2 linked regions of the Drosophila melanogaster genome follow. The protein of the gene in region 1 interacts with the protein of each later gene in a pairwise test. Each region holds a gene or a part of one and is shown on either strand. Other genes may lie near its edges.

Region 1 (7,719 bases):
TGAAGTGGGCCAAAAAGAGCAAAACAGGCGGAGACAAGACACGCCAACTAAAAGGCTAGAAAAGACTTGAAGACCGAAGACTGAGCACTGAAGACCGAACACGAAGACCGAAGACGGGGCGCGGCAGGTGCAGATGGAAGAAACAATAAAATGCCCGCTTCTATTTGGCGGCAGCCAATTTGCATTCGATGCGACTTCGTCATAGCATAATTGGAATTCAAATTTGACGTGGGCTGGTGGGTTGGGTTGTTGTCATTCTGGCTCGCAACCAAAAATTGGAAACAATGACGAAACAGCAGTTGCAGCGGAAAGAAGCTACAGTAGATACTACTGCAAGAGTAACTCAAGCCAGTTGATTATCAATAAAAATTCTATACATTACGTATATTGTTCAAATAATTGAAAAATAGAAAAAAGATTTTAGTCAGCAGGTTTTCTCTTCTCAAAACTCTTCTTAAAATCTTAAAAATCAATTAAGCCTACGATGTATCTAAATCATTTTTTAACTTGAAATAAACACCACTAAGCAAACGCATACTATTTAATACCACTAGTTATCAACCATGTTATAAATTATCTTCATGCGGTGTAACTTTAATAAGTTTGAAGTGAAATGAGGAATTGGTTTATATTGCAAATTTCTATTGTATTTTTCCCTTTCCTGGTGGTTTCCGGTTATCCAGTTCAGCTTAAGTGCCTTAGCTAAAATTTCCAATGGCCCGAGATTGACTGTATCAATATAATTCTTGGCCAGGCACCAGATGGTCCCGTTCCCAAGGGTGAACCACCCCCATGCCGACCTCAAGCTTAACCACGCAACTCACCTGGAAGACTGTCAGCGGCATATGGAACTCGGCTCCGCCGGTTATGAGGAATCCCCACCGGCTGTCGTCCTTGGTGGCATACGCATCGGAGTCGACATCGAAGGCGGGATAGCCGTCCGTATCGCCGATGCCGCAGGACACCTTGATGATGGGCGCCTTTGACTTGGACTCCGGCACGGACCATAGCAGACCCAGTTGTTCCGGCATCGCTTTGTTTACCCGTTCTCTGGCGAAGAGATACCGGATCTCTTCCTGCTATCCGCTGGTTTTATTTATAAATTCGCACTCTTGCCGGCGGCACTCTTGCTTTTCTATTCTACCTTTCCACTTTTATATTGCTCTTTTTTTTAGCGCTGCGAAAGTTTTAGTTGCTCTTTTTTCCGATTGCTTGTTTGCGTTTGCCTGTCAAAATTCCGCCTGTGCAAAAATATTACTCGACTTTTGCCGGCTTTTCAACACAACCTGAAACTCGCTTACTTTCGAACTTTCTATTGAAAGTGAAGGAACTAGTTGAATGCCTGAACTTTGGGTAATTGTGCGACTTATATAATCAGCAGTCACGCATTGCACAACCCCAATCTCATTGGATCTTGGCCCGCAAAGTGGCGAAAAGTACGGAAACTCCGAAATTGTTGAATAACCAAGAATAAGCACGACTATGAGGGATAATTATGGAAAGTGTATTTAACGCTTTTTTTATGCCTGCTGCCTGGTTCTTTTGTTTTTCTTTTTTTTTTATTGTATTTTGTGGCTTCTCTTTCACTTCCACACGACTGCACTCGACTTGGGCAACTAAAATAATTTTCGAGAAGTTTTCCTTTGTGGCTGCATTTTTTCTATTTTCCCCATTCTCTCTCGCGCTTTTCCTCTGCTCCTCGTGGTCTGTTTTTCCTTTTTTTTTTTAGATAATGTGACGATGCAAAACTGTTGCATTCTTTGTTGCTTTTTTTTTTTGCCAAGTCGAAGCGTTTTTTGCTTTTGATTAAAGATCTTCTCAAATATACAAGTTTAAATTCACAAGTGCATTTGGTATTCATAGTCAAAGCATCAGCTGTTTTTTCTCTTTCCACTGTTATTAAGTTATTATTCATTGCTCAACAACGAGTATTAATTAAAGCTACGCATGCAAGCTAGTTTTATATTCAATCAAGAAAAGGAACTGGAGATGAAAGTAACAGATGATACCTTATAAATTTATTTATAAAATCACTACTCAAATACCAATTTGAAAATTCAAGCTTTTATAGTTCCCGAGATCATAGCGTTCATGCGGACAGACAGATGGACATACGGACATGTCCGGATATGCTAGTGATCCTGATCAAGAATATGTATACTATGTAGTTTCGGAAACGCTTTCCCTTACGTGTTATATACTTTTAAACGAATAAAGTAATTAATTCACGAGTAACATCCCAATTATTATCAACTAAGAAATGGTTAATTTAATTTACCTCTACCATAAAATCATATTTTAAAGCCTTTGCGCAGTTCATGTCCATACCCAACATCTTTGTGATGCACGTCAACTGCCAAGTTTAAAGCAGAATAAATAACTTGAACGTGCCAAGCTCACAGGCAAAGAATTCGACTTGTCAAATAAACAACAATGGAAATCAGAGTTCCATGTGTGGGAAATTTTCGGAGAAAGGCCCCAAAAAAGTGGCACACACCTGACAACGAAATTTCGATTAGCACAGGAAATACTACAAATGTGGATATGCTCATGTGTGTGATATGCATGTTTAAGGAATAGTTCGTACACATTTCTTTGACGTGGCCATAAAAGAGTGAACAAAACGTGCCTTATCAGCCGCAAAGCTGCAACAACAACAAATGGTGACAAACAAAGGGAGAAAACCGTAGGCGATTTTTTCGAGAAAATTTTTCAATATCCCAAACGTCGGAAAGGGCGCAAAATGCAGATGACACGAATCACAAAAAAGACTTCAGAAAACAAAAAAAAACAATTCGTTTAGCATATATGCATAGTTTTTCGTACGGAAACTAAAGAACATGCTGTGGTCAATTTCCTCGACTAACAGATACCCTAGCTTCAGTTTCAAAGAGAAGTTTCAAAGTTGGTTATAAGTATCGATCGAAATTCTCCAAAAGATTTTGTTGGTAATATTACAAAAAAAAATTTTATATTTCTAAATCCTTATTAACAAGATATTGGTTACCAAAGCGTTCTAAAATCACTTCAAGAATGCAGACCTTTTTTTAGTTCTCATGAGTAAATCATAAATTCAAAAGCGTAAACAAACATGAAACTGACATTTTTGCTCTGAGGTCAGACAACTTTGACGACTGCTGTCGTGATAAGGATGGTTTTTACTGATAATGAGGTAGATGACTAATGAGACAGGGGTTTCATGACTGAGGGAAACAAATTTCAGAAGAATTTTTAAATTTTTAGAATTCTTCTTTGCTTTTATTTAATTTATGAACGGTTGTATTGCTGTAGACGACCGGACTCTGGTAGAGTTTTACAAATCGCATACATATCCCTTATTTCAATTCTAGAATCTAGGGTAATACCGTTCTCCAAATCTCTGAAATCAGCATTTGGGCAAATCGTGGCCAGGAGCCCTATATTCCTGTTCCTCTCACCAGACCTGCGCCTTCTGACAGCGGACTCCGATTCTTCCTCGGATGCCATGATCAGCATAGAAGACGATTCCATTGAGCTGTCCATTTTATCGTTAACATTCTCATTGCTACCATCCGTGAGCTCATCATCTTCCGTGCTGTTACTAGTGTCCTTGGTAGCTCGCTTGCTGATAGTTTTCTCGATACTGCTCTTCAGATTCTGCTGCTTCGATAGCTCACTATAATCATTATACTCGGAATCCGATTCGGAGTCCTCCCAAATTGGGGGCAAAGGAAGTGCCGCGCTCAGCACAATGGCGGAGATTAGGAACAGCAAAACAGATCGACGCATCCCGGTAATCTTTGTATATCCTGGTAAACTCCACTATTCCACTAGCTTGATGGGTGGGTTCTTCTCGCTGAGACTGATTTTTTCGAACTGATTCTGGACAGCTGCACACGTTACCGGCGAAGCCTCAACAAATGTGCTATCGCCTCCTCGGCGATTATGTGATTATAGACTCAAATTCAATTGAGTCAGGCAGATAGTGGGTTTCAGAAATGACTCTTTATAATGCATGTAGATTGAAACAGACGCACTTAGTCCCTTAAAACAGACACGTAATGCATAATTTGACTTACACAATTAAATAAGCTAAGTTTCAATGTTAGGTGAGCTAATTTCCAAATGCATTTCAAGTAATGAAAATTGTAATAGTTAAATAATATGGCAAAATTAATTATTAGAAGAGGAAAATATTTCTTGTTGCTGATATTTATACGTGTTACTCGTAAACTTGAATAAACACACCCCATAAGTTAAAAAGTAAATAATACATAGGCAATAGCCTAATCTCTTGTTTTGATGACTCAGTCATTATAATAATAGTAAAAATGTAATATGGCTACGAAAACATAAGCTATAATGTTATTTATGTTTATTCAAAATCATTCGGCATAGGTGGCCTCGTTGGCCTCTTTGGAGCTAACCTCCATGACCTCGCATCCCTGGGCGTAGTCTTCGATGCTGGTGTTGTCCTTGTCCTTCAAAAGCTCCGCCACAGCCTGCGCCATCTGCTCGTCCAGTTCCTTCTCAGCCTGGGCATCCAGGTCCGGCGCATCGCTGGATTTCTGATCGGCAGCCTGGCGTCTTCGTCTAGACTCCCTTTGCTTACAAAAGCTTACGGCCCGGTCATATGCAGATTGTAGATTGAAATTCTTAATATCGAATTCTTTCAGTGACTGGCAAAAGGATCGCACCATCGTATCCTCCGTGCTTCTGCGTTTCCTAGCAGTGTGCTCCGTAGTTGTTTCTTCTACCGCAGCTGGTGTTGTCTTTTCCTCGGAGGAGGAATCGCCGGAGCTGTCCGCCTTGTTCTTGGCCTTGTCTTTGGCTTTGTCATTATGCTCCTCAGATGAGCTGCTGGCATCCTTGGCAGATCGTTTGATAATATGGATTCCGGTGCTCTCGTCCAGGTCCTGCAGTTCACCGCTGTCTTCGCTCAGCGTCAGCATCTGCTCCAGCCAATCCTCCTCGGATTTGGTTAGTCTTGAGGGCAGAGCCACTGCAGCACAGAAAAGGATGGCTGACACGGCCAGTAGTAACAGTGATCGCTGCATTGATCTAGTCCTTGTGGTATAACCTTTTAAGGTATGTAAACTCTCCTGTGCTCCTCTAGGCACACTTTGCGCCAAGACCTTATTTTGCAAACTGACTACGACCGATGGCAAAGATTTGCCAAGAAACCTCAAAAGTTCGTTTCTGTCCAGATTTTCAGATTACGGGTGCAACCGTAATTAAAGCTTCCATCAAATGCGAATGTATAAATACATATATTTCATATAGATTGCACATAACACTCTCTCCCATTTTCAGTTTCCGCGGCACTGCGCAATTTCCGAGTTTGCGCCAATTGCGAGTCCAGAAATCCAGACTCACTTGCATAATTCATGACAACAAATTGAGAGGCTGTGGAACGCGATGCACTATCGAGCTGCCAAAGTCAGGCCTGATAAGCCCACGGATCACTACAGATCATCCCGACGCGCAATTTGTAATTATTGATGCTACTTCAAAACAGATGAGCAAAAATGTATAAGTATAATCCGAGTACACAGCAAGCAAAAAATGTAAATTTACCAGTCACAGGTAATATTTTTGTATTCAGAATTATTTTAAAACAAATTTAAACACTCAAAATCTTGTTGAATACATAATATTTTTTTATTAGCTTTACAATTTTGTTTTATAGATAAATTCCTTAATTAAATATATATATAATATATATGTTAACTCATCTAATCTTTTAATGCTTTTCAGTGAAATCCATATTTGTTTTTAAAGAACGACCCACATAAATTGAACTTCTAATCTAAACAGCATATATATGTATATATAATTTCTGGGAAAAAATATAAAATTAAATTTATTAATGAAAAAATGAATTCCAAAGAGCTCCATTAAATCAAAAAATCCGAAAGTTAAGCGCTTGCCTATTTCTTCTTTTCATATAAGTAAAAGTAAGTAAAACGAAAACTTTTACCATAAAATTGTTTATCATTTTTTAATCTGTTCGATTTGTGTATCCAAAAGACTATCTTTTCCCGCGCTGTGTAGAGAAACACTCGTAAATTACAATTTTGCCGGCGCAACGTGCCAGCGTAATTGAAGCGTTTCGTGGAGGGAAAGTCAAGTTCAAGAGTTCTCCTAAGTATCCGACAGATACTGTAGACGCCTAAGCCAAAAATGCCACTTAAGACAGATAAGCAAACAAAAAAAAAAAGTGAAAGGATTCCCGAAAAGTTTCGGACTGAATGATAAATAGCAAAAGGATTCCCTTTCGGTTTCGCCGAAGAAGACGTGAGACGACTGGGAAGTGCGTCCACCGGTAGGTCACATGTGTCCACTGATGAGTGCCCAGTAGGGGCAATTATAGTGTCACCGGTGTTTACCCGACTATTAAATATCCATCAGAAAGTTGGCTATTATTCACCTGAAGGCGCGGCAATGGCAGCGTCTTAAATAACATCGAAAACAAATTTATTTAACAGCCATCAAAGGGGATTGGCCCATTGCGTCTGTCATAAAAAAAGTTATTTGCCCTCTTACTGCGGATCCAACTTATTGAATATGATTCCCAGATGTCCTCCGCAACATCAAAGGGAAAGCAGTGGATTGGGTGGAGCAAAGTCGCAGGCTCATGCATAATTTAAAGCAATTTGGCATTGTGCTGAATCAATTTCCACGCCCAGACAATCAAACGGAAAGTATTAAGACCCGAAATCCATTCCACGTGCTGCAGTGCTTCCCATGCAAATTATACTCTTCAGCACTGCAGCACTTTTATGTAAATCCTTGCTCCAGGCACCAGGTGCCGCTGCCCAAAATGGCAGTGAATTAAAGCGCCGACATTTTGTCATATTTATTAAAAATTTATCAATGTCATAAAGTTTACCGCACCCGGACAAAAAAAATTCCAAGAACACACGCACACAATGGGCAACGATCAATCAACTTTAAAGCCCTCGCAAGATTTACTTAGGTCCTCCAATTGGACCCCAGATGGTGCTTAAAGTCCGGCAGTTTCGCCTTAATTCCACACAAAGTTCGGTAATGGAGCTGTAGTTCTTAAAAATAAAAAATCGCCTTCTTATTAAGACTAAAGAATCTGTTTACACAAGTTCATATCATTTAAATTCATTTTGTTTATTGCTTAAGAACGTTTAATCTAAATGGATATAGTATTAGTATGTCAAGCCTAAAAGTATACCAGTTTTTCTTTAAATCAAATGCGTTCATTTATAACTTGTACTGCAAGAGCTTTGCAAAAAGTATTGGATATATGTATTTATTATTTATATATTTAAATTTTAATTAATCCATATTGACATAAACTTTTTATTACCTATTATTTAGCTTGAGTTATTTGTCACAATAAGATAGAAACTCAAAAACACAACACACCCACAGGTAACACAAAATAAACACACACAAAAAAATATAAAATAATAAAAACATTTAAAAACAACAAAAACACCAAAAAAAAAACAAAACACACACACACATTAACACCAAAAATGTCCCAGAATCATGCCTCTACGGAAGAAGTCTTGCACGTGGTGGAGGCCATCGAGGCAGGTGAAAAATCCGAGGTAGACACTGTTCCAGTGGTTGTGCCACCAGAATCAACAGCTGAGCCCGAAGTGATCTCCAAGCCAGAGGAGGGCAACCAACCAGCTGGCGATGAGCCGCGGGAGGAGAAGCCACAGATCGAATCTGGCGCAATTACCGCCCAGGTGGCGA
Region 2 (7,244 bases), on another chromosome or scaffold:
CTAGGAAAACTTAAGCAACTATAGATATTTCGATGTGAAATATATATCATATTATATTAAGCATTTTTATATGGTATTGTTAGCACGCGCTCAATATAATATTCAAGTACCTAAATACATTTTCTTCACTGTGCATTTTTGTATCTTATCAAAGACAAGGCGTGGTATCATTTACTTTTTCAGAGCTTATCAATGTGATTGCTTGTGGTTCGATACTTTATTGCCTTTCTGTTTATCAAGAAGCTAAAGTGTAAATATTTACGACCTTTGGAAACTTTGCAATTAAATTCGCCGTGCATTTATCCTAGACTCAAACCCAATTGCACTCGCCGCAAGGCGCGCATTTCAAAACTGCAATCGAGCATTTCTTATCAGAGTTTTGGGGCTTTGCACAAGCAACTGCAAAGCTGAAAAATATATATTTTATTTGAGGAGGAATATATATTTTTGGAAAATATAAAAACGGTTACCGGCTGAATAAAATGAATGGCCATAAAGCCTAATCTCAAGAACATTTATTGCTTGACCATCCAGAAAATTTAATTAAAAATGGGACCGTTTAGAATCTACTTGTGTGTGCTGCTATATATTTCACTATATTTCTTATCTTGGTGGAACTTTTTTTTTAGAGGCAGTTAACGGATTTGTGGGCCATTTACCCAGGCATTATGTATACATATGTATGATTTAATAGCTATATTTCTCCATTAAATCCACTGGCAGGGCATCCATTGGTGGGGGCCACTATCAGTTGAGCGTACTTTTGACTTTGAGCCAAATCGGCGCAGCTTATCAGTGACGTCCCATTCGCAGCTTACGATTCCCTGTCTTTCAATTGAATATATGTATATAGCTTTTCTGATTTCTGCACTTTGAAACGCCAATTGCGTAATGCAAAAAATGAGCAAACGAACAAAGAATCTTTTAGAAACATGACAATGACCAAAGATCGACATTACCTCCAAAATACTATACTTTTCGCACTCAAAAATCAGCATCAATCAGCCGCAGATTGTTTGCTTTCTTTTTAGCGACAGCGAATTTATTTGTTTTTAAATTAAAAATGTACTAAATGCCGGTCCCGAAAAATACACAAATGTATGCTATTTTATATACGCACATATGTATCTTTGGAATATATGAATGTATGTGTATATATATAGGTATATTGTTTAGACGAGACAAACTGAAACTTGTTGGCAATAACTTTTTGGAAAACCGGTTGCGGTTTTGATGGCATTGATATAGACGAAAGGGTTAAGAATTAGGGGAAAGGGGTAAGAATTTGGGAATGAGAAAACATCGATACAGTGATCTCTGCTTAATTAAGACAAATTCAATACGATGCCGATATATAGATATAGATAGATATAAAATAATATATCCAATAGAATTTTTATATGATAACCATCTAAAGCAGCTGTGCATAGAACTTTTGCGTATTAATTTAAGAAACATTACCTCCAAATATTTATTTTAAATAAATTTTTCAAATTTTAACATTTTTTTTTTTTTGAGACAACTTTTGTTAGTCACTGTTTATCTGCGATATATATATATGCAGCGTATCGCTTTTGTTTGTGATTGTTTTGACAACAAAACTGGCTTATGCAACGAACTGTTAAAAAAAAATCTGAAACAGAAAATTATGTGAACTGGCTGCACTTTGCTTCAAAGACCCCGCTCCCCCCTGCACTTTCACCCCCCGCATTGGGGGGATTATCAGACAAACCAACTGGATAAGATAGTAACGATAAGGAATCCAATTAGAACACGGCCATTCGGATTTACTAAAATCACAACTTTTGCCAAACGTTAGTAAATTATATTAAATTATATTGTAACTCCGATTGACACGTAGAGCGCAACGAACAACAGCAACACAAAAAGAAGCAGAAATAACGGGTAAAGGGGGTGTTTTGATGTGCTAATTGGGTTGCTAAACAGCTGTTGACGCCGCACAAATTGAGCACAAAAAAAAAAACAATAACACGGCACGCAATTCAATTAGGGAAACGCACGCAGAACGATAAACAAAATCAGGGTACTATTGTGTATTAGATTTTTTTTTGGGCGCACAAATCACTTTCACTGTCACTTCCTCGCTGCTCCCAATTAGAATTTCTCGGCCACTGTGTTTATATATATGTACATATATGCACATGCATATATACATATATACGTCGGCAGTTCAAGAGCAAAAAATCGATTTTTCGCTGCACTTTTTAGTCGTTTCACCTTGATGGGCGCAAGTGGGCGTGGCGATTATCTAACGGCGTTTGTTGTGATCCCAAGAACTTGCATAAACTTATTAATAAACGCGATATGTCTGTATATAAAATACCTAATAAAAACGTGTGTGCTTGCTTGGCTGCGTGTGTGTGCGCGTACGTGTGTGTGTGTGTGCGAATATGTGCGGCGTGCGAGCTCCAATCAGAATCGTATCAAAAATTCAAAGCTCTTTGGCCGCTAGACGCAATTAAGGAACTGACAACAAGAACTGAAACCGCACCGAGATGGAAAATGAAGTGCTGGCAGTATTTACCGACTATATGTTTTTCTTGCGGGCAAAAGTCACGATGAAGCGGGCAGCGATTAAGTTTTAAAAATATCACGTCTGCAGCCCTCGCAGCCAAACTTTCGATAGACGGCGATAGATCGATAGACCAGCGATTTGCACCAACACTGGAAAGCTCAGAGCATTCAAAAACAAACTAATGTGTTTTATAAATAGCTCTTTTTAAATATCGATTAATTGCGATCTTAACTAACTTTCGTTTATTTCTATTAATTATGAACTTACTTCTGTTTTTAAACATCTTTGCTCTTTGCTTGTTTTTCGTGTAAGGCTTTAAATTCACTTAAACAATTTTGCTGGCTTTGTGCGCATCTTCATATATCACTGAAATTGATTGTTATAGGAGTGTCCCATTGAATTAGTTTTGTGTCGATTCAATCCTGGCCCGAAAATGTATGAACAAGCTATGCCCTACATTTTACCCATAGTCTACTTAGGTTTGTTTATATAGTATTCTTTTCAAGTTCGTTATGATAGCTCTTAGAAAATAAGATTTCTGTGAATATCTCCTCCGTATAAAAGAATTTTTATCAATAGTTTGGTAAGCTTTTTTTTCTCTTCTACAAAACCTTTTCGCATGTTTTATTTCACTCGAAACTTATTGCTATTCAAAAAAATGGGTTTTCTAACGCTAGAATTATGTACAGAGTGCATTTGGAAAAAATGATGGGTAGTAAGCCCTAGAAAGCCATGGCTACGTGCTGATGCCCATGATGGATTCGATGGAGAAACTCAGCTTGGGCTTCTTGCCACTGCCGGTGGAGGCAGTGGTGACTGCGGGCGTGGTCATCGCTGGATTTGTGGGCGGGATCGTTAGCGGTATCGTCGGCGGCATCGGGTGATAAATGTGCTGCTCCTGATGAACGGGTGCGCAGGCGGCGGCGGCGGCGGCAACGGTGGCAAAGTACAAAGCGTTACCGCCCAGCGTCGCCTCCATGACATGGTTCAGTTCCGGATCGGCGAATGCCCGCCGTTTGCGCATGCGCTCCATCAATGGCGAGCTGAACGTGGGAAATCGCTGTTTGTATTCTGAAAGAGAACGAACCAAAAGGAATGGTTGAAATTAGTGAGGGTTTTGGTGGGGGCGTTATCACTACAAATTGCCGCGATTCGTTATGAATGGGTATTCCAAATTGAAACAATTTATTATTGGGTAATCCGAGACACGCGTCGCCTGACCAGACAGCCTGGCACCGTTTTTTTTTTTTTGTTTTTTTGTTTCAACTTCGGACCGGTTTCGGGATCTCCACTTATTCGGATGGAACCAGATGGAAAACCCAGAAAGAAGTCAATTGCTGTTGCCACATTTGGCTCTTTTTGTGAGTCGGATGGGTTTTTCCGTTTTTGGTCGCGTCTCAGCTTACCGAATGTGACTCCCCTCAAGTGATTGGAAAATGTGCGTACACTGCACACACACATTTCGAAGCATCCGATTTCAATTGTTTTTCGTCAGTCGAATAATTGCTGTTGTTATTGTTGGGCATCAGTCATTTCCTGTCCACGACCACGACCACGTCCATGGACAGAGGAAAAGAGACGGAAGATGGGCGGCGGGAGACAGGAGACTGGAGACCGGAGAGGATCTCCGATTACGAACGGACCAGACAGTCTGGCACCGTATGGGAAAGCGTGTGAGTAGGGAATGTACTTATCATTTCAGCTGTGTCGTCTACTTTACGACATCTAATAATTTCCAAATTGGAAAGTGTCTATTTGATTGCGGACTCATAGATAGATATCCTTTTTGATATGTACATAAATCCTTATTTATGTAGTCCCATACTAACCTTCCATGGCGGCTGTGATATGCAATGTGGATTGCTGCAAACTGCGTAGTCTCTGCTTGTAGATCCTCTTTTGGGCCATCAGAGCCTGTCGGGTGGCCGAGGATGAAGATGAGTTGCTAACGCAAGATGTGGGATGCGAATGCGAATGTGGATGTGAATGTGCCGGCGGTGGTGAAGTGGAGCTGAGGGAGTCCTCGCCCTCGCTGCTGCTGGAGTTGTTGGCACTGGCCGTTGTTACGCCCGTGGATTTTGTAGATGATGCGGTGGCCTCCAGAGCCTCCATGGTTTGCTGACGTCGCAGGGCCACCTGGGCGGCCATCACCCGCTGGCGATCGACGACCAGTTGGCAATTGGGGCAGCAGCATTCGCGCCAACGGCACAGACGCTTGTGACCCTTGACACAGGAGATGACGCCGTGATTGCGACACCTGGCGCACTTCGGCGTCCGCAGGAGACGTCGCTCCCGCTGGCAAATCCTAACACTGGCGTCCTTGCTCATCCTCGCTTGCTGATCGACTAAAAGGATGTGGAACGGGGCGCGAACATTTAAGCACTGGCAACCGCAGCTACTTGTCGCCGTCAGACTGTCTGGCAGCGTCAAGTGGTTTCCGTCGTCGTCGTCGTCGTTGTGTCCCCAGGGTATCCGACGCCCACGAGGTGTACTAGCATGAGGTACAACACAGCGAGCATGCAAGGGATCGGACTCGGGATCGGTTCCTTGCCTGCCATTGGCTGCTAATCGCTGGCTCTAAATATAGAAGATCCAATGGCCGCACAGATGTCTCGCATCAGCATGCAAAAGATACATTCGACTACAGGAGGAACTCATTGAAAGCGATTTCAAAGATTAGTAATATATACATATATAGCATATATATATAGGTTATGGATCACTTGCTTAATCAATTACTTGGGGCATCTTAAAGAATTTAAGAAGGTAAAAGTATCTGTGAATCTTCTATGGTTCTTTATAGGCATGTTTCACTATACCTTTCCAATCCGTACATCTTTGTTTGGACTCCGTGTTTCGTCAAAGTGCATATTGATTTCTGGCCTGTCTTCGTTTAATATCTTTATTCGTTTATTTGAGTCAATTTCGGTTTACGTGTATAACAATTTGTAGCATTCATTATCTTATATAGCACGTACACACATATATATATATGTATATATATATTTCCGTATAAATACAAATTCAACTCGAGTTTAGCCATATCGTTTCATTAGCTAATAGTACGTAAAAAAAAGAAAAAAAAATTCTCAGCGATTTATATACTAGAAGTTTTTAGGTGAAAGGACTTTCCATTTAATGCCTTTTAAATGCCTTCTTTATATATTTTTTGTGTAAATATATACATATATGCTTATATATACGGTGCAGCGCGTTTCACAAGTAACAATCTTTTAAATTTCGGAACAAATGATGGCCAACTGTTGGCGATTGTCAAATAATTTCGAATTCAGCCAGCTGTTTTTAATTAGGATATGTAATCGAACTTACCGCAAAAAGTTGTCAAATGGGAAATTGTGTTCTTCGAACCGAATGAATAAATGCTATTATCTCACTTCATACAATTGTGAAACGCACTGTCCCTCTGCATACATATATGTATTTTATATCCATTTAGTAAGTGTGATTCAAAAACGTTACTGAGTTCTATTAGAGGATTACATTGATTAAAGCTTGAGCTAGAAATGTGCCAGGTTTTCGATTCGATTGGTTGGTTGGTCAAAATGCAGGTGCGACTAGGAAAGTACTATTCGTGTATTCGAGTGCGTTCTATTATGGTCTCAGGATCATATACATTATGATCATCATATATTATAAGGTTGTAGCGGACAATCGGTTCATGTTAAAACGGGACCAACAACGAACTTTTGTTTAATGTTTGGTAATTATAATTACTTGTGTTTAACATGGAATCATATGGTAAATGCTTGCAAAGTTATTGTCCTTTACTGTTTAAAAAACGTTCTCTAAATTGAAATCTATGTGTGTATTAACGGTGCGTGTATATATATAACATTCGCTTAAAAAAGTTTTGATCCTTGAACCAACTAAATCTAAATTACAAAACACGCGGCCCTACAAAAAATTTGAACGAACACAAATCACAAAAGTACAAACATTACATATGGTACCTATATATCATCAATAATATTATTAGTATTATTATTAATATTTTATATCGACTATGGATTGTAGCTATCGTAAATACTTTGATTTCCTTCGATACGATTCTCCGCTCTTGACACAGACGCACTCTGAATTCACTTCGTTTGCTATTATATCATATCACAATGCTTAAAGGGCTCGCCGCTTCTCGATTCTCGATTATCGATTATCGGTTATCGAGTTTTGTTCTCGATTTCGATTTGGGCTTCAAATTCAACAACGTTTGATTGCCAAACGACGATCTATCTATAGAGTTCTAATATAACAGGCTCACTGGTCGCTAGGCTAAACCATACAGCTCGCGAAATAATTGTATTTCCATTGGCTTTATCAATGCTATCATTATTGATTTTACTCCATTACGATCTCTATCTATCAGTTTTCATTGGATTTACCCAACGAGAATGGAACTTAAAGTGGGAAATTTGAGCTGCCAAGTGGCAGATGATTTGAAATGGTAAAATAATATGAGAGCTCTGAAATGTAGCCAAGTAAGATAAACAGGCCCTTTTTGGGACACACATCTACAAATGTTCTGTTTCCATAAACAAGAATGGAAATAAATATGCTATATAGAAATAATATCTAATAGATAGATAATGCCAGTTTATGCAATTATTTCGCTCGCTGTATGCGACAAATTTCAACAAGTGTGTGGACTCTTTTGTTTTCGTTTTTCAGATCGAGGTTGCATCATCATATA

The links. The genes of interacting proteins can lie anywhere in the genome.
Region 2: the proteins of CG10799 (region 1) and CG1640 interact in a two-hybrid assay, tested with the Drosophila melanogaster proteins (one large-scale study listed by BioGRID).

The regions. Positions count from the first base shown.
Region 1 is NT_033778.4:13,254,000-13,261,718, reverse strand, and holds CG10799 (uncharacterized protein), read right to left. Parts: upstream 3,834-7,719; 5' UTR 3,769-3,833; coding exon 3,268-3,768; 3' UTR 3,242-3,267; downstream 1-3,241. Other genes in the region: CG42319 (uncharacterized protein), read right to left, coding at 825-1,031; CG4716 (uncharacterized protein), read right to left, coding at 4,365-5,036; CG4714 (uncharacterized protein), read left to right, coding at 7,494-7,719.
Region 2 is NC_004354.4:13,366,362-13,373,605, reverse strand, and holds the start of CG1640 (uncharacterized protein), read right to left. Parts: upstream 3,001-7,244; 5' UTR 2,820-3,000; coding exon 2,804-2,819; intron 2,612-2,803; exon of another isoform or gene 2,080-2,611; intron 1-2,079. Other genes in the region: dmrt11E (doublesex-Mab related 11E), read right to left, coding at 3,273-3,607, 4,366-5,113, 5,356-5,406.